Drosophila melanogaster: one gene and its partners. The protein of the gene in region 3 interacts with the protein of the main gene of each other region in a pairwise test. Each region holds a gene or a part of one and is shown on either strand. Other genes may lie near its edges.

The links.
Region 1: the proteins of CG13157 (region 3) and Cpr47Ef interact in a two-hybrid assay, tested with the Drosophila melanogaster proteins (one large-scale study listed by BioGRID).
Region 2: the proteins of CG13157 (region 3) and CG15126 interact in a two-hybrid assay, tested with the Drosophila melanogaster proteins (one large-scale study listed by BioGRID).

Annotation. Positions count from the first base shown.
Region 1 is NT_033778.4:11,266,183-11,275,148, forward strand, and holds Cpr47Ef (cuticular protein 47Ef), read right to left. Parts: upstream 6,394-8,966; 5' UTR 6,210-6,393; coding exon 6,195-6,209; intron 4,089-6,194; coding exon 3,368-4,088; intron 3,304-3,367; coding exon 3,178-3,303; intron 3,099-3,177; coding exon 3,060-3,098; intron 2,972-3,059; coding exon 2,939-2,971; intron 2,884-2,938; coding exon 2,818-2,883; intron 2,726-2,817; coding exon 2,621-2,725; intron 2,559-2,620; coding exon 2,526-2,558; intron 2,471-2,525; coding exon 2,414-2,470; intron 2,358-2,413; coding exon 2,217-2,357; intron 2,160-2,216; coding exon 2,103-2,159; intron 2,047-2,102; coding exon 2,014-2,046; intron 1,954-2,013; coding exon 1,897-1,953; intron 1,838-1,896; coding exon 1,805-1,837; intron 1,682-1,804; coding exon 1,616-1,681; intron 1,531-1,615; coding exon 1,486-1,530; intron 1,120-1,485; coding exon 908-1,119; 3' UTR 733-907; downstream 1-732. Other genes in the region: Cpr47Ee (cuticular protein 47Ee), read left to right, coding at 1-588; TpnC47D (troponin C at 47D), read right to left, coding at 7,932-7,960, 8,398-8,649, 8,708-8,882.
Region 2 is NT_033778.4:19,688,456-19,691,971, reverse strand, and holds CG15126 (uncharacterized protein), read right to left. Parts: upstream 1,175-3,516; 5' UTR 1,128-1,174; coding exon 966-1,127; 3' UTR 894-965; downstream 1-893.
Region 3 is NT_033778.4:12,413,520-12,419,204, reverse strand, and holds CG13157 (uncharacterized protein), read right to left. Parts: upstream 3,162-5,685; 5' UTR 2,751-3,161; coding exon 2,333-2,750; intron 2,049-2,332; coding exon 1,063-2,048; 3' UTR 974-1,062; downstream 1-973. Other genes in the region: CG42782 (uncharacterized protein), read left to right, coding at 1-51; Cpr49Ah (cuticular protein 49Ah), read right to left, coding at 4,352-4,912, 5,132-5,143.

The sequences.
Region 1 (8,966 bases), 1.1 Mb from region 3:
AACGGATTTCGAGCGGAGGGCACGGGGATTCCATCTAGCCCTCAATATTTCGCAGGTGCCCAGCCCTATCAACAGGGCTTGCTCAATCCCAATTTGAATCCATACCAGACGCCCTTCCGCCAGCTGCCACCCCCACTGCCCAACGCCCCCTTTCGTCCCCAGCTTCCAGGACAACAGCCGCTCACTCCACTGCAGCAACAGCAGCAGCAACAGCAACAACAGTTGCAACAGCAACGCGGTTTCCAGCAGCAGCAGCAGCCAAACTCCGGGCAATATCAACCGGAACAGCCGTTCAATCAGTTGCATTCCGGCAACTTACCCGGTCAGTATGCCGGACAATTTGGCCAGCAATCGTTTGGCAGCAATCTTACTGCACAACAGGCACAACAGCAGCAGAATCTCAACCAGCAACAGCAGCAGCAGCAGCAACAACAGCAGCAGCAGCAACAGCAGCAGAAGGAGCAGCAAAACGAGCAGCAGCAACAGGCCCTAATCACCCAACAACTGAGGGGCAGACCGAACAACCTGGTGGATCCATATGGCTATAATCAGTACGGCAGACGCTTCAAGAAGTCCCCAAAGAAATAACGACAAATTAATGTCATTTAAATGATTGATTAGTTTGAAGATGTAGTCGCAACTCAAAGGCATGAAATACATGCATCTGAAAAGTCAAGCAGTTTGTTTCAATTTCCGCAGCTTACGCGGCGCAAAATGATAAGCAAATATTTTATAATAATCATTTATTTCGATAGTTGCACACACACATTGTCAGAGTGGAAGAGGGAGGTAAGCTTATATAAATAAATTAATTGTTTTAGCGAAAGAACATTGAGGGCAGCCTGCACGGAAATGACGTTTCTTCGATTTGAGAGATTTGATTGGCGTTTTGGAATAAATTCTGATTTTAGTAGCTATAGCCCGTCTGAGGATTGAACTCTCCGTTTCCACGACCTCCGCCCGGCGCTCCCGGAGCAGGTGGAATGTACTGTGATCCTGTGCCGGGAACTCCTCCCGATCCTGGTCTGCCTGGCGAGCCGGGTGCTCCGCCACCAGCCGCTGGTGGAACATACTGATTGCCGGGCAATCCTGGTCCGCCTGGACGTCCACCGGCGCCTCCTAGATAAAAAATGGAAACAATCGCGATTAGAGTGGCATTAAATTTATGTAAACCCTCTTTGATTAGTTGTAATTATTTAAAGCAGTCTTTAAAATTATTATAATCTAGCGACTTCAAAGAGACCGCGTGCAAGCCGAAATGTTTTATGCATGAAAGATCGTTAGTCGATCGTGGGTAAAACAATAGACCAAGGCTTTGCCAAACAAGAATTGTCAAAATAAAAAAACTGAAATGTGTGGGAATAGCACTTGTCTAGTGTAGCTCTTCACATCATTTTCTCATGAAGATGAATGAGGCTAATTCAAGTTTTACAATTGCAATCACACAGATTGTAAAACCGGGTTTATAACTATAATGCTTCTTACCCGGTCCACCGGCACCTCCTCCATAACCTGGACCGCCTGGAGATCCTACATTAAAAAATGTAAATACCATCTATATGTTGTGACAAATTGGGAGAGTGACCTCTTCATCACAAAAACCAATGTTACTCACCGGGTCCACCGGGTGCTCCTCCAGCTCCACCGCGACCACCGCCGGCGCCAAAGCCACCACCACCTCCTAAAAAATAAATATTACTTTAATTATTATAATATTTATAACACAGTTTAACAAGTAGTCGGAAACTTGAAGAATTTCGTAAGTTTTGTGGAATGCACAGTGTACTGTTACTAAGTTACTAACCTTGGCCTCCGAATCCTCCTCCTCCGGGAGAGCCTGCGAAACACGAATGGTATGTTTTTAAAGCCACTAGGCAGATATTAAAATCGACTTACCAGGAGCTCCAGGAGCACCACCACGACCGGCGCCGCCTCCGTATCCGCCACCCCCACCTACAAGATGAAGATGTTTTACTTAAGACCTGCAACTGGAATATTGTTTTGCTAACTAACCTTGACCGCCAAATCCTCCTCCACCAGGCGATCCTATTAATTAATAATTCCTTATTTTCAGTAACAAACAATTTATGTTTTGTACTCACCTGGAGCTCCTGGGGCACCTCCACGACCACCACCTCCTCCGAATCCGCCACCACCTCCTACAAGATGAATGTATTATTCGAGGTGAATGTGCAGTAAGTTTTAAAATCCCTTACCTTGACCTCCGAATCCGCCACCACCTGGGGATCCTGGTGCTCCTGGCGCACCTGGTGCTCCACCACCACCGCGACCGCCGCCGCCTCCATAGCCGCCGCCAGCACCTCCCTGGCCACCATATCCGCCTCCGCCTGGTGATCCTGAAAATAAGCAATGTGTTATCTATTATATAAAGTGAATGAAATCATGAACTCACCGGGAGCGCCAGGAGCACCGCCGCGTCCGCCGCCACCTCCGAATCCTCCGCCTCCACCTGGAAAGTGTATATAGTTTTAACTTGAACCGCAAAGTCAGGCGGGATCACTTACCTTGACCTCCGAAACCTCCACCGCCAGGTGATCCTTTAGTTGAAGTAAGTTATTAGTTTTGAGTATCTATGGAGTAACACTTTTCGTTAACTTACCGGGAGCTCCTGGTGCTCCGCCACCGCCGCGTCCTCCGCCGCCGCCACCACCATAACCGCCGCCAGCACCTCCTTGACCACCAAATCCGCCGCCGCCAGGTGATCCTGAAATATATGAAAATAAATATAAATTCATGAAGTGAATTAAGACGGATTTTCTTTAGGAACAATAAATTTCATCTAGAAAAAGGACTTACCAGGACCTCCTGGGGAACCACCACGACCAGCTCCGCCACCAGCTCCTCCATAGCCTCCTCCACCTCCTAAAAAATAAATAGTATTTTAGATCCATGTGTAAGCCGTTGGAACATAACTTACCTTGACCTCCGAATCCGCCTCCACCTGGCGCACCTAAAGAAGCAAACGAATCGATAAAGTATTAAATTAATCTAATAGGGGTTAACATTTTTAAAAATTGTATAAATAAATCAGTCGTTACCTGGACCTCCTGGTGCTCCTCCACGACCACTGCCGCCTCCTAAAAATAATCAAAGTTAAAGTCAAAAAAGACTAAAAAAAGAAAAAGGGTCAAAATGTGACTTGAATTCGTATCTTACCTGATCCATATCCACCGCCACCTCCTGCTCCACCTCCGCCTCCACCGGATCCTCCTCCTGCGCCGCCGCCTCCAAATCCGGATCCGCCTCCATATCCCGAACCACCGCCTCCGCCGCCACCTGCTCCTGCAATCAAAAGTGAGCAATGAAATGGAATGTTAATCCATTGATTTATTTTGTAGAAACTTACCCTGTCCTCCAGGACCGCCACTGTATCCACCACCCGGCAGTATGGAGATGCCCTGGGCAGCCAGAGATTTGGCTATCGCTTCCGGAATGGGCGGTGGAGTGGGCAGGGCGTTGCCCGAGGGCACAAAGCCATTCTCATCCGCCGTGTACATGATCTCGACGAGTTCACCTTCGGGATTTGTGTAGGAGTATGAGCCCATCACGGATGGGATTTCATTCTCAGATCCCTTGTTCTTAACGGTGCCCTCCTCCTGGGCCTTTATACCATTTCCAGTCTCGTAGCTGAAACGGTAGTTGCCATCGCCGTCGTTCTCGTTGACAAATGAGAGGATCGGAATGGGAGGTCCAGAAGTTGGTGGCGCGCCACCTGACGGACTGGGGCGTGGAGCGGGTGCTCCGCCGCCTCCGCCGCCGCCGCCAGGTGCAATGGGTCTTCCGTTTGCGAAGCCACCAAGTCCGTTATTACCACCACCAAAGCCACCAGCACCGCCACCGCCTGGTCCTCCACCGAAGCCGCCAGCTGGTCCGCCACCGCCGCCTCCTCCATAACCTCCACCCGCTCCGCCGCCACCGAATCCTCCACCTCCGCCGAAGCCACCTCCTGGGCCCTGAAGCCCTGCTCCCGGACTGCCGCCCGCACTGGCCGCACTTGCAGGTGGGGGCAGGTATTTGTTATCCAGCTTGGCTGCTTGGGCAACCACCAGCGTCGTGATCACCAGAGCCTGAAAAAGATCGTTGCAGGTAGGGATTGCCCGGTAAGTTCACAAATTTATGCAAGCACATGGAAAGTTCATGCGAATCCAGCATCTTCCATCGCGATCCACGTTCTCAATTTGGCCTGAAGCGAATCTTTGGCGTGTTGACTTATTTGATTGCAAAATAAATGCCAGTGAAAAATCGCAGGGGTGGCTAATTGTTTAAAATTTAACTTCATTAACTGCGGCTAATTCATAAATCTGAAGATAACATGAAAAAAGGCTGCTAAATGTAATGAAATAGTCATTTAACGACCGCCATAAAAAGTGTTATTCGAATAAACTTTTGTTGCTTGAGCACAAGGACGTATTTAAACTTAAAATAATGTTAAGCGTCTGAAAATTATTATTTTCGAATTATTCGTATTAAGAAATACTTTTAAACGATTTTTAATGTCTTACTAACATTATGTCATTTTTTACAACTGTACTTTACTCATGATAGCATTTTGGTAATTATTTGTAATAAATGTGTATTTTAAGTTAAACAGCAATGGTTCGTTCCAAAAATAAACGATAAGCTTTTTCCAAACTTCAAATTACAAGAAGAACCTTGAATTGTTTCTGCTGTTAATTAAGCCCTGATACACATCTCGGCCAAGTGGGTATCATGACCCCGCCGCTGGGAACCTCCAAAGGGGTCAAGAGTGTGGCCAAATGTCGGCCATTTCATCAATGAAGCATTTGTCCATTGACAGAACGACGCAATCCGATCCGCTCACGTTTTCCATTGTTGCAACCGATCGTCGTCGCCCATTAAGGCTGCAAGTGCAGCGGGGACTCTTGACTATAGTATCAACATCGGGCTGGCTCATCATTGTCTCAGCCTGAGGCGAACTATGATATTTATGGACTTCTTGTTAGACAGAAGACGTCTGAAGATGCAGCAGCGTGTGAACCGAGAGTGCCACAGAGAATTGCTGGCTGGGAAGGTTGGCTAAGCGGAGCGGACCAGCGAGTGTCAAGTTGAAGTTTAAACCGTTTACGAATTCCATTGGGCCATAAACCTAACAGCTCCATCGATTGGCACGATGATGAGCTCACTTGTCGCCACAGCCGGGCAGTGTAATAATGTAATATTGTGGAAATTCTGACATTTGCCACACTGACTCATCCGGCGACTGTGGCACATGCAACCGAAACAAGCAACGCCTGCCCCTTGGGCCGGAATATCTTGAGGAGTCTGTGAGAGCCTCTTGGAGTTCGTGACCACCTAGCAGACATCTTCGACAGCGTTTCGCAACCGCAAATATAATTGCGGTTATTGCAAATGGGCTGCCAATTGGGTCGCCACTGCTTCCATTTCGATGATCTGCTTTGGAGGCGGGGCGGATCGGCCACGACCAAACCATCTTGGGCAACTTTGCGTGCCATCCACCATCTCCGATTGCAAATGGGCTGTTAATTTATGCGTTTCACGGGGATTACTCGATCTTTTCAAGACAATCGGATATGCTAAGTGCAATGGGGAAACCCTTGGCTGTGCTAAAATATCCAAGATGGGACACTCCAGTGGCCTATTGTTTAGGCATGTTCTTTTTCGCGGAATTTTATGAGTTGCCAAGTTGAGATTAAATAATTAACTAAATCAAAGTTTCCTGAAAAGTTATAAACTCTTGATGAATAAGAATATTCCTATGCCAATTTAATACAGATTTCTGATGAGACAATTCCCTAGACTAAAATAATTGAATGTCTTTATTCTAAGGTAAAATTCGTAACTTTACTTTCATTTAAATTAAATTGGGTAATGAAATCAATTTAATTAAATTTGAAGCATTAAGATCTTTGCATTCGAATGTAAAATGTAAAAATGTAATGAATGTAAAAAATCCGAAAAGAATAAAAACGGAAAATATGAATATAAATATGAATATTATATTCAAACATTGAAATATATTTTTGAATCTAGGTCATTATCTCAAGAAGGATACTTTTCGGGAAAAATTAGTAAAGCTCTACAATAATTTCTAACCACAACAGCATATGGAGTTTCAAAGGACTCTTCATTAGAACACTTGGATCTTTTGAATTTTCTAACCCAAAGTTACTTTCCTCTTTCACTGAACTTACCCACTTAAGAGCCATGACAGCAATCTTTTGATTGTTTCGATCGAGGATTAAGAAGAAGAATCCTTGGCGCACCCACAATTTATCCACTGCTTAATTTATCCACAAAGCTGGGTTAATCCACGTAAGTCCTTTGCCGCACCAGCGATGCAGTGCCTCCGCGTGTCGTGTTGTGGCTCCTCGAATGTCACGGTACTTGTGTGCCGATCGCAGCCCAAGTTCTCCAGCTTTTATACTTGGTTTGGCGCCAAATGCAATCAAATGGAATGGAATGAACGAAAACTGCAGCCGGAGCTTGCCGCTTGCAGCTTGGAGCTCGGTGCTGAGCGAGTGCTGAGATTTTGATACTTTATGGCATTTATTGCAATCGTGTGCAGCTGTGGTGGTGATGGTGGTGGTGCTAGCTGAGGCTCCGTCCCCAGCTGGGGCAGAAAACAATCGCACGAAAAAGGGAGGAGGAGGTGGTGGTGCCCCCGCATCCTCATCCGCAAGCCCATGCATTTTGACTATTGTCTCAACGGCGGCATCTCGTTTACTCAATGTACCTTGTCTTGTTAAACAAACGCTCTCAGCCACATCTCTCCTCGGTTAGTGGGTAAAAATTAGCAAGCAAGCAACTGCTGCTGGTGGTGCTCGTAAATTGGAATCCAATCGAAACGCTCAACGCTCGAGCGCATCATCATCATTCAGCTTCATCTCCATTGAATTGCACGTTTGGGAAACCGTTTTAATGCGCTCGGTGTCAAGAATCGCATATTGAGAAGTCTGCCCAGGCGGATGTCAATAAATCTGACACCCAACACAATCCGCCACATTTTCAGCTCTTTCACAGGGCGTCCAGGTCCAGTCTGTGACCTTTCACCTAATGATTGGGTAAAAACTGAAAACTGGATTCGAAGCGGTAATAAATACCACTAATATCGACACCCTCCGGCCGAAAGACTAAGCATTGCGCAAAACAAGTTGCTCCACTTGGTGGCAACATCCAAACCCCAACCCATCCACATCGATCTGCCCCAAGCCCCTTCTCCTTTTTTTTCGCTAACTTTTCAGAAAGGGCAGTTGCTTCTTTTCGCTGAATTTGGGAAAACAAACTCACTGCATGTCGCGGCGGCCAAGTTTAGCGTAAATGCTTGACATCTTTTGGCAACAAGGAGAATGCTCATTGACATTTGCCAGCCTGCATGCATAGCTATGATATACTACATTGGCTGTTTGGAAAGGCAAAAATCTAGCAGGTTGTCAGTGGGCCTTATTCTGCTTGGGATGGTCACAGCTGTGCGGACCAGAACGCCAGTCAAGTGGCAAACGGAATGTGCACGCACTGCCGCAAGTAATAGCGGAAAGATTGAAACAAAGAACTCCGCATGCATCTGGCCACGTTGCGTATGCGCAACATGCATCACTCATACGCCGAATGGCCTTGCCAAATTAACACACAAATGAGCAGAGCGGCCACGCCCACTCCCAGCCCATTGCACAAACATTGAAATTTAATAATAATCCGCACGCCAGAGGGTGGCAATTGGCAATTAAGATGACTCAACTCGGATGCAGATGCACTGCAGCCATAGAATGTTTGCCGCGCTTTGGGTTTTTCTACTCAATCGGTTCCTGAACGAGCGGATTATTTATAGCGTAATTATGATTACTCAATCGTAGAAATAAAATACAAAACGTTTATTCAAGCCTCGGGTGTTGGGGGGTAGACAATTATGAGATACGTTGGGTCCACAATGCTTACTCGCCAGTCATCATCTCCATGAATTCTGGAAATTAAATACAAAATAATATTAATTATTATTATTGTTGATAACTAAAATATGGTTTGTGTACTAATACAAGTGGAAATTGGACCAAAACCTCATAATACAAATTTGTTTCTTTTTAAACTGGTACACCAATCGGAACAATTATAAAAGGCGGAAAATATGGACGGATTTTGTTTTAGGAATAGTGAAATGCCCCTTAGAATCTGGGGCAAAGTGATCTGCTTGTTTCTGTGTAAAGATCTAAAGAACTATAAATAAAGCACCACAAGGGCGTCTCCCCTCGTTGGTGGGATGGTGGTGTTAGTGGGGAGGGGTAGGGGTTCTCCACCGCAACAAATTGATATAATTTGTGTGGAAAATACCATGGCAGCGCGCCAAGGAATCCAAGATCTTTATAGCCCGACTGACGGCGGCTAATTGGTCCGCGCACTTACCATCAAAATCAACGGTGCCAGAGCCGTCGGAATCGATTTCCTCAATCATGATGTCGAGCTCCTGTTCGGTCAGCTGGTCGTCCAGTTCCTTGAGGATCTCCTTCAGGCAGGAGGTGGGAATGTAGCCATTGCCCTGCTTGTCGTACAGACGGAAAGCCTCGCGCAGCTCCTTCTGCATGGCCTCATCATCCTCCTCTACGATGAACTTGGCAGCCAGCTGGACGAACTCCTCGAACTCCAGGCGACCGGATTCTGCAGAAGAATCGAGGATTAGTTTGGGCACCCGGCAATATAGGCTGCGAACACTTACTGTCCTCATCGACCTCGTCGATCAGCTCGTCAAGGATCTGCCTGTCGAAGGGCTGACCCATAAGACGGAGGATATCGGCCACCATTTCGGTGGGGATACTGCCGGTCTTCTGGTGGTCGAAGCTGTTGAATGCCTTCTGCAGAACGGCAATCTGCTCGGGGGTCAGGTCTTCGTCCTGAGAAGAAAGTTCCATGAATTTCCATACATTACTTCGTTTGTAATTCGGTAAAAATCTTTAAATTGATGAGAAACGACATTT
Region 2 (3,516 bases), 7.3 Mb from region 3:
AGCGTGCTTCGGTTTTTCCTTTTAGGTTTTCCCTTGGCTGTTTTCCGCTGCCTTTCGTGAAAATGCCTTGGGTTGAGTTGAGTTTTTGGGTTCGAGGTTTAAGGTTGGGGATTTTTCGGGGTTGGGTGACCGGGAGCAGCGACTCTTTGTTGCTTTTGTTGGCACTCTGCTGCCGCTCCTGCTCCTCCTACTGCTTTCAATTCAATTTTTCGCCAGCTGTTGTGCTTAATTTGAACTTTAAGCATTTTCCTTGTTGTTGTTTGGGAATTTCCGGCTTTAATGCGGCATTTCTGCGGCTGGGCGACGAAAACAACTCAATGTGAATCGGAAAATGGAGAATAGGGAACCGATTTCGTAGCGTTAAGAAGTCCTTTGTGGGTCAACCAGTCAGCCTTTTAACCGCTAATGAAGACTTATTTCGCAGCACAGCAAAGGCAATGCACTTATTTATGGTTAGGCCGTAGTATTTCCCATCCGAAATATGGACCGGTTGACAGTATAAATAATGTGTTCCTTTGCCAGAATTTATGGCACTTGTATGTCTTCTGGTCTTCGGCATCCACTTGGCTGCTATAAATTAGAGCCACCGACCAGTCCGACCTTAAATGTGAAGTGCGTGTGTGTATGGCTACAGGATCTCCACCTCCAACCACATCCATCCACTCCCCCTCAAATACGCACACACACACACACACACACGCATTCCCGACACGCAACAAAACACACAGATACCATTGGTACACTTGTATTATGGCAGCGGCTTTTGAGGTTTTAAAGCGTTTTGAGGTGACACATAATGATTAGCCAGCCATTAATTGCTTAGCACTCGAGGCACTCGATTACACTAATTAGGCGTCTTATTAACCTTAAACACATACACAGTTACAGAACTCCTTCGGGGCATTCGTATTTATTACGTGAGGGTTCTTAAAACTACAATCTTTAATAAATTCCTTTATAAATTCTTATGAAATTGTGCAGCAAAGGCAGCAGGGACGAGGTCCGTGGTGATGATGGGGCGGTCCATGGTGATGTGGCGGTCCATGGTGGCCTCCATGATGCGGGGGTCCGCCATGATGCGGTCCTCCATGTCCATGGCCTCCGGGTCCTCCGTGTGGTGGTGGCATTATTCAGATATTTTTGCAAACTTTGAAAACCGTGCGGTTGGGTCCAACTCTTATAGGCAACTAAATCCATATTGTCAGGGTAAATCTAATCAAGACCTGCCTCATAAAGATAAGTACTATCTAATCTGTATAGTATTGCTTGCTAATCGATAGAAGTGTTAGTTAGCACAAACATGGGAATATTATGATGACCATGGCGATGAGTAAGGCCTTGTAAATGCTGAATTAGTCATGACAAATAAAATGAGGAAAACCCCTCTAAGGTCTCCTTCTGAGATAGCCATATGTACAATTTTTTTTTGCTTCTAGTTTTTAAGTGATAAGATTAAGCTTCCAAAATTATAAAAAGTACACTACCGCTGGGACTTTGTGAAATGTGCATTTTCTCTATTGTACACTTAAAATTTAATAATAATTCAAAATAACATAACCCAAGAGATAACAAATGTAACTTTCATTGGTAATCTATTCCAAGGTATTTCCGATTTTCTAAAAGGTTTGTTGGTAAATCGATAAGATAATGGCTTTCAAATTTTGCGGAATTATGTGCTTATAAGACCGCCCAATCGATCAACATTATTCTATGGAAATTCAAATACGAATTCGAATGTTCTTAGAATACACGACTTATTGGCTTTCTTCTGAAACCGAAACTCCATTTGTACTTTATTTACTGCCCTTGCCAATGAAGGCAATAGTACTTAATAATTGTAGAATACGAACTTTCCACCAATCTGATTTTGTCAATTTGCCATTGAGATTGCTATAGTGCATATATAGTTCATGCGAGTGGAGCAACTTGATTTTAATTCCTGATAAAGAAAAGGCAGCCGTGGCCATGTAACTATTTACTTTCCCCATGACATGACCCAGAAAAGTATGGCGAAAATTCGCCAAGCCAAGTGCAGGCACATTCGGCAAGAAAACGGATGGAGCAAGACCAATGGCTTGGCTTTTTGAATTCAATTAATTTTATCTGCATCAGTTTTCCCTTATAATCGCATCCCAGGGCTGCTCACATGCGAAACGGAAAACGGCTAAAGGACTGAAGGACGAAAGGACGCTTACTCGAAAAAAGGACCGCAACTCGTAAAATATATAAAGTCATTGCAAAAGCCAATTTGTATATCAGCGTTGGCGGCTGAGGCCCGGCGATTATCAAACTGCGAAACTTACTTAAAATGCCCTCAAAAGGGGGTTTCCCTTGCCAAATGGAACGGTGAAGGGGAGTTGGCCCTGCTTTCATGGTAACAATTACATTTCACAGATTTTCGTTTGGGGTCGCGTGTGCCGTTGCATGTTGTTGGTGCGGTCGCATTCGCGTCCGCTTTTCGCGTTCTTTATTTCGGGCTTAAAGGAGCTTACATTATCGCCGGGTTGGCAAAAGGCAAAACCCACACACCGGCAGGCGAATTTCCACTGGCTGATGGGCGACGTCTAAATATGAGAATGTTGTGTGAAAATGTTTAAAATCCACGCGAGCCTCTCCGAGCGCAAATGCTTAGCACGCCATAAGTGTCAGCCAGCCATGATTGCCTGCGGTTTTCCCAGTGTATTTTCCCGTCTGTTCTATATGTGGATACAGTTGCGGTTACATAAATAGTGCTAGATCTATATAATATGTTTTGTAAACAAAATGGTTCGGTTTTTACCCTAAGACTTATGGTATTTATTAGTTTTGTTTTGTTAGTTATTTTTGGCTACAATACATTTCATAATACTTAATAACTTTTTAATTGTGGTTCATATTCGCGTTATACTTTTTTTTTGGTTTTTTTTTAACTATTATAAAAACTACTATTAAACTGATCGCGGCTGTAAATGTGTGGGTTTTATTCCTTTGGCCAAGGAGTGGCCACTTTTGCATACCTCCCCCTGAAAATAGCGTGGCGGGCGCTAAGAAAGGAAGTAAATAGTGGAAAAGGCATAAATAATAGCAAATAATACGGCGACAATGCGCACAAATTTGCCGCTAAAGTGTAGTCATTGTCGAGGAAAAAAAAGTAGAAAAAAAAATTAGAAAAGGAGTCCTGTGCGTGAGCTAAGCCACAGGACCTGCCTTTGCTTTTTGCATGATTTCGCTGTTTAAATTTATTACACATTAGATTTATGATCGCGTTGAGTTGCCCCTACTTCCCGCAACACTCCTCACTGCTTATCACTGCCCTTTGTGGTGGCTTTAATTTCATTGTTACAACTTCTATTTGAACTGAGTGTGAAGCATAATTTATAGGTGACCGTGTGGCGAGTGTGTGCAAGTTTTTAAGTGATTTCTTTCGCTCGGGTGCCACTGGGCATGCACAATTATTGGGTGGCCTGTGCCACTTCTGTCACTCGCCTTGCGGTCAAATTTCCACAGAGGGTTTCCCCCGGTTTTCCCCTAGTTTTC
Region 3 (5,685 bases):
CCTGTACATTTCGTTTTCAAAAATAACTATTGCCAGTATCAGCCCATGTAGGGTTAAGAATTAATAACAAGAAATAAATAATTTCTGAACATTAAAGAATATTGGCTGTTTTAATAACAGCATTGCTTACTACTTTTCGAACTTTGTACTGATTAACAGGAAGGGCGCACTTATTGTCACTTTACAAGGACACTCTATTGCTCAGAGCCCGGCAGCCAACCCATAAATTTGAAAGTTCTTTCCCTTTTAAAACAATTTCACTTGGGTGAGAATGTGGCTGTCATAAATAAATGTAATCATAGTTTGGTTAGGCTTCTGGTAAGCTTAAAAATTAGTCTGGAATATATGTATATATTATACTAAAATCTAAAGCTGTTAAATATTTTCCCTACTTTCCGGTTCTAGGAGATTCTTTTTGCAAAGGTTTCTACAATTGATAATAATGTCGTTACTTTGATGCAATGCTGGCTTTCACAGTTAGGCATCATCTGATATGATCCAATCCAATAAATACATTATGTATATAAAAATAAATTTTGATTGATTCCATACACTCTGACGCTTGACTGATTAGATACGAACAATTCGTAGTAAGCATGATATGCATTCGATTAGATTCAATTTACTGCATTTTTGGATGGGTTATCTTTACACCTCGACTGGATGTCCTACCTAGTTATATAATTATTTCATTACAGTTCTACAACGAATAGTATTTTTCTATGAATGAAATTGTTAATCAAAAAATCCATAGAGATAAGGAATGCTTAAGAATTCATTATCTACATAAGTGCAGGTCGTTATCAGCTTTTGTTTACGCCTTCGACTAATCGACTAAAGGTAGGATACGAAAAAAGGTAGATTAGAGAGTTATTCTAAATTCATTGAAATATATGAAAAATATATTCTTCTTAGAGATAAACAAGTTGATGACCCATCAATTTCCACCCAAAATAAAAAAACAGCTGAAGTGAATTGTATGGGTTGGCTTAGGTTTAATTGTTAAGTAAGTGTAATTAGCGAATAGCCCCTGAGTTGTGTTAAGGTCAAGTGATACTAAATTTAAATACTATTTTCTCGCCGGAAGCTCCAAGCAATAACGAGGAGCACCGCGAGCGTGCCAAGTGATCTTTGCGGGGATCCGGCGCCGGAATCACTCGGTATAGCCACTTGGGTTGGCTGTATATCCATATCTGCATCTAGTATCTCCTGCTGCCTCGTCACCTGTTCTACCTGCGGACGAGCATGACCAGGACGTATCTCCACCTTGGGAAGGGGGAAGCAGTAGACCCTTTCGACCTCCACCAACTGGGGCACAATGCTGTCGGAGGAAAGCGAAGTTTCCGAGACGGTGAGAGGCACACATATGGTTGGCTCCTCAGAGGCATTTCGATCCTCGTAAGGAATGCCCACCCGGGTTATATTCAGCGGCACGGTCTCTGGAACACTCAGTTCGCTGTGCATCTGGGCGGAGTTTAGAGAATCCTCGTAGTACTTGTATTCGTCCACAGGATCAGAGACGCTCTCGTCGCGCCGGTCAATGCTCCCCTGAATGCTCCCATCTATCCTTTCGGTGCTCACCGTAAGGGATGTGCTATCGATGAAATCAGTGGGCCAATTCAATAGACCCGCAGTGGATCTAGTGGGCTGTGTGGGAACCGGTGGATGCACCACCGAGGATTGCATAAATCCTGGTACCACGGAGCTCGTTGCAGGTGGAGCTGGCATTGTGGTATCGTAAGGATACGGATACGGCAGGGGCAACCAGTTGTCGTCGGCGGAATTCTTGGAATTCCTTCGATTGTCCGTCGTCGTCTCCACGGACTCGTTGATCTGCTTGGATATTGCCTTCAATATGGGTTCCGAATCGTTGACCCTGGCCAACTCGAATTGTTGTGGCACCTGCTGAGTACTGATGCGCCGGCGTCCATATTTCTCTGCTGAACTTTCACGACTGACTGGTCGGGAATAGGCAGGATTCTGGTAGCCACCAGGGGCAATAGGAGCGGACAGCTCTTCGCTGGAACTTGATGGCTTGGCATCAATAGCTGCGGCATAGAAGTATTTGAGACATGAGCAAACAATTTCGAAACAGAGACCAAATTAAACGCTACATGAAGATCTTTTTAAAAAGATGTTTAGGTTTCAATATAGTTATCATTAATATAAATCAATAACATTAGAGATTAATAATTCAGGTTATTGAAAATATATTTAACCTATTAAATAAAAGACTAAGCAGACTTTAGTTTCATTAAATTCTAGCAGCGTTTGCTTGTTTTTAATGATACTTATATTAATAGGAAATTCACATTCGAAGTTGAATTCTTACCATCTGCCGGCAATCCCATGAGCATGGCTTCCAGGCGTCCGTAGACCCGCTCCTTGGGCTGCGGTTCCGAATCGATTTTCGTGTCCACCTTCTCGGGCCTCTCCGGATGCTCTGGCTTCCAGTTGCCGTACACCACCGCCTCCTGACTGGGCGTGGCCGGCAGGGGGGCGGTCTCCTCGCGCCACAGTGGAATGTGGGTGTGCACAGTGGAACTGATGGGGCCTGCAGCCGGCACAATTGGCCAGTTTCCCAATGCCTGAGCAGGTGCTCCGCCGACTGAAACGGGATTTTGCATATCCGCAATGCGTATACGCCCCCTGGGACGGGGAGGACCCTGCAGCTGCTGTGTGGCAATTAGCTGGCAGCCACTGAGGGCTATCAGCGACCACAGTAGACACTCTTTCCAATGACTAACCATATTTAAATTGAACACGTCTATCTTCTTTTTTTGCAGATGCTGTGCTACTTTTCAATTTTACAGTTCGTTTTTATAGGTTTATTGATTCATTCTCGTTTTCAGCAGCCACAATAACAATCTATTGTTTAATTTTTGGCTTCTGCTATTTTTTCTTTGACGTTGCTTCGATGTCAATGTAATATTCACATCTACAGTTCTTCACATCTTCACTTTTCTGTCGATCAACCACTTCACTTCCCCATTTCTTTTCACTCCCCACAAACAAATATTTGTATTATCGCTACCAGTTTTCGGTGTAACGCTCTTGCGAATTCGATCTTCAGCTTTCTTATAGATATTGTATATTGTAGAGGAAGTATCTCTTTTGCTGGCGATTTGCGATCTGCACGCGACGGCTTGTAAACGGCAACTGAGTTGGCCAAATCAATTCCAGCACCGCACAGGCCCACAAGAAAGATTCTTTCTAATCACGGGCCATAGAAATTTTCCTTTGTTCGGCTTCGTTATTATATGGTTTTTTTTTCGTCTTAATTATGCGCAAGAGCGTTGAAACTTAATGGCGAATAAACATTCTTCGGGGCCCCGCTTTCGGGGTCTGTTTCTACGGCGGTGGTGAAAATGCAGCGGATTTGATTTATATTCAGCTAGAAATAACCGCAGAGTATAGTCAGTGTGTTTACGTTATATGCAAATATGTTAGGTGGCCAAATCGTTTGCCGTTTTGTGGCCCAAAAGGTTATTCGGTTGTTTGTTCTTTCAACCTGATGACAGTGGTTTTTGGTTTCAATATTTGCGTAGCCAAGGGCTACTCCATTCGAAATGCCAAACGGTAAAGGTAGCCTACGTTAAATACAATAATTGGCAGAACGAAGAGGTTTCTCGGCGCGAAATCGGGGCTACGCCAGTAACCCATTCGTGGACCACTTCAACTGGCTTCCTCAGCCTTTCCACATGCAACGCCTGCCCGCGAAGACAAGTCGAATGGCACTGGAAAATCTGTCGTAATTATGCAACTGGCAACCAGTCGAGAGACTCCTCTCGAAAGAAAATTTCCATGGCGGCGATGTAGAAATATGGAAAATTGGAAAACCCAACCTGCATGGAATGGGATCAACAAACTAACGTAATTCGATCTGCGAAGTAAATAATAAAGCAACGAAAGATGCACGGTAAATGGGGAAATACTTTGAGAAAATAATGAGGACCCATAAACGCTTTGTCACGTTTGTCTGAACATCGTGGATATGGTCAGCTGTAAAACGGAAAAAAATAATGCCAGAAAATATGGTAAGTCCATCATCAAGTCGGTTCGGCATAATGGAAACGTTAGTTTACTTTTATTGTTTCAAAGCAGCGAAACTTTCACACTCGTTAATAAAATATTATTAATTTGATTGAGCGCCCCTGTCTGTTGGTTTTATGGTACTTAGTGGGAAATTCAAAAGTTATTAAACGATTATCATTCAGTGTGGTACAGCGATTTGGATTTGGAAGAGCTTGCAGAATGAAATCACAGTCTTGTTGTTGTTGATATAGAATGCGAAGAAGTTACGTTTCCAGGATCATCGGTTCGGTGGGGGAATGGAATGGGCGGAGCTCGTCTATTGGTTCTCCAGCAGACCGATGTACTGGCCATTCTGGTTGGCCACGCGTCGCTCCTCCAGTTTCCTCGCAAAGTCTGGATCTGTCTTGGCCCTCTGCTCCAGACGCTCCTGCTGCAGTTTAATGCCAGCGTAGATCTGATCCAAACCCTTCTGTATCTCCTCGGGAATAGCCGGCGGAGTAGGAATGTGATCACCTGTGGCCCTGAATCCATTCTCGTCGGCCGTGTACTGCACATTGACCAGAGTTCCCTCGGGGGATTGGTAGGAGTACTGGCCATGCTGAACCAACACCCCATTTGGATTGGTGTCGAAGTCCTTGAGGAAACCGGTTTCCTCATGAATGATGCTATTGCCCGTCTCGTATTCTGTCTTGTAGCTTCCATCGTCACTCTGCTCCTTGTTGTACTTGATTATGGGTATCCAGGTGCTGGTCTCTCTGTGATCTTCATGACGATGATGATCTGGTTTGTCATCGCGTGGTATGTTGTTCACATTTTGGTGCTGATGTTGATGGTGGTGTTGTCCTTGGCAGGAAATGGCCAACAGCACAAGAAGTATCTGAAAGGATAAATATTAGCTTAAGCTTACTAACACATGCAAGTCATTACGATTTCCAAACAAAGTAATCACAAAAAAGAATATTTAATCCTATCCTTTAGATGTAATGTAAACCAATAAATTTTATATTTGAGAAGATCGAACTGTTGCAATGTTTGCCAATCATTCATCGAGAATCACTTGACCGATTTTATGTGATTGGTTATGTGAACCACTTACGAGCACTTTCATTTCGCAAGGAGTCTCTGCCGCTTATCCACTGTATTCCACTGATTTGGCCCGCTTTGTCGCCCGTTTGGCTGGCACTGATCGCACTGGCTAGTGAAAGCAGCTCCGTTAGACACTGTGCCAAGCGCGGCCCTATTTTGGTCTTATATAGGCGATTCGCTCTGCTCCGACCCGATCCGATCCTCCTGTTGCACTCGTGTCCATACCCACACAGGTGAGCCTCCATGGGAGAGCGTGCATTTGCTATTTCTGCTGGTGATGGAGTTTCTAATGGAGATGAAGTTGCAGATGGATATGCAGTTGCAGTTGCCGATGAAGATGGGAGGGGATGGGAGTGGAAGTGGAATTTGCCATGGAAGCTCTTATTTTTTGTTAGCTGTCTGATCCGACCGATCGGTAATTGTTGTTCGTAGGCTCGACGACGCTTAAATGCTAAAATCGTAAAAAAAAAAACAATTCACTGTCGCTCTCGTTTGAGGCTTTTTCAGAGGCTGAGGCAGTATGATTTTAAAAGGAATCCAGAACTATGACAAACTATAAGGATA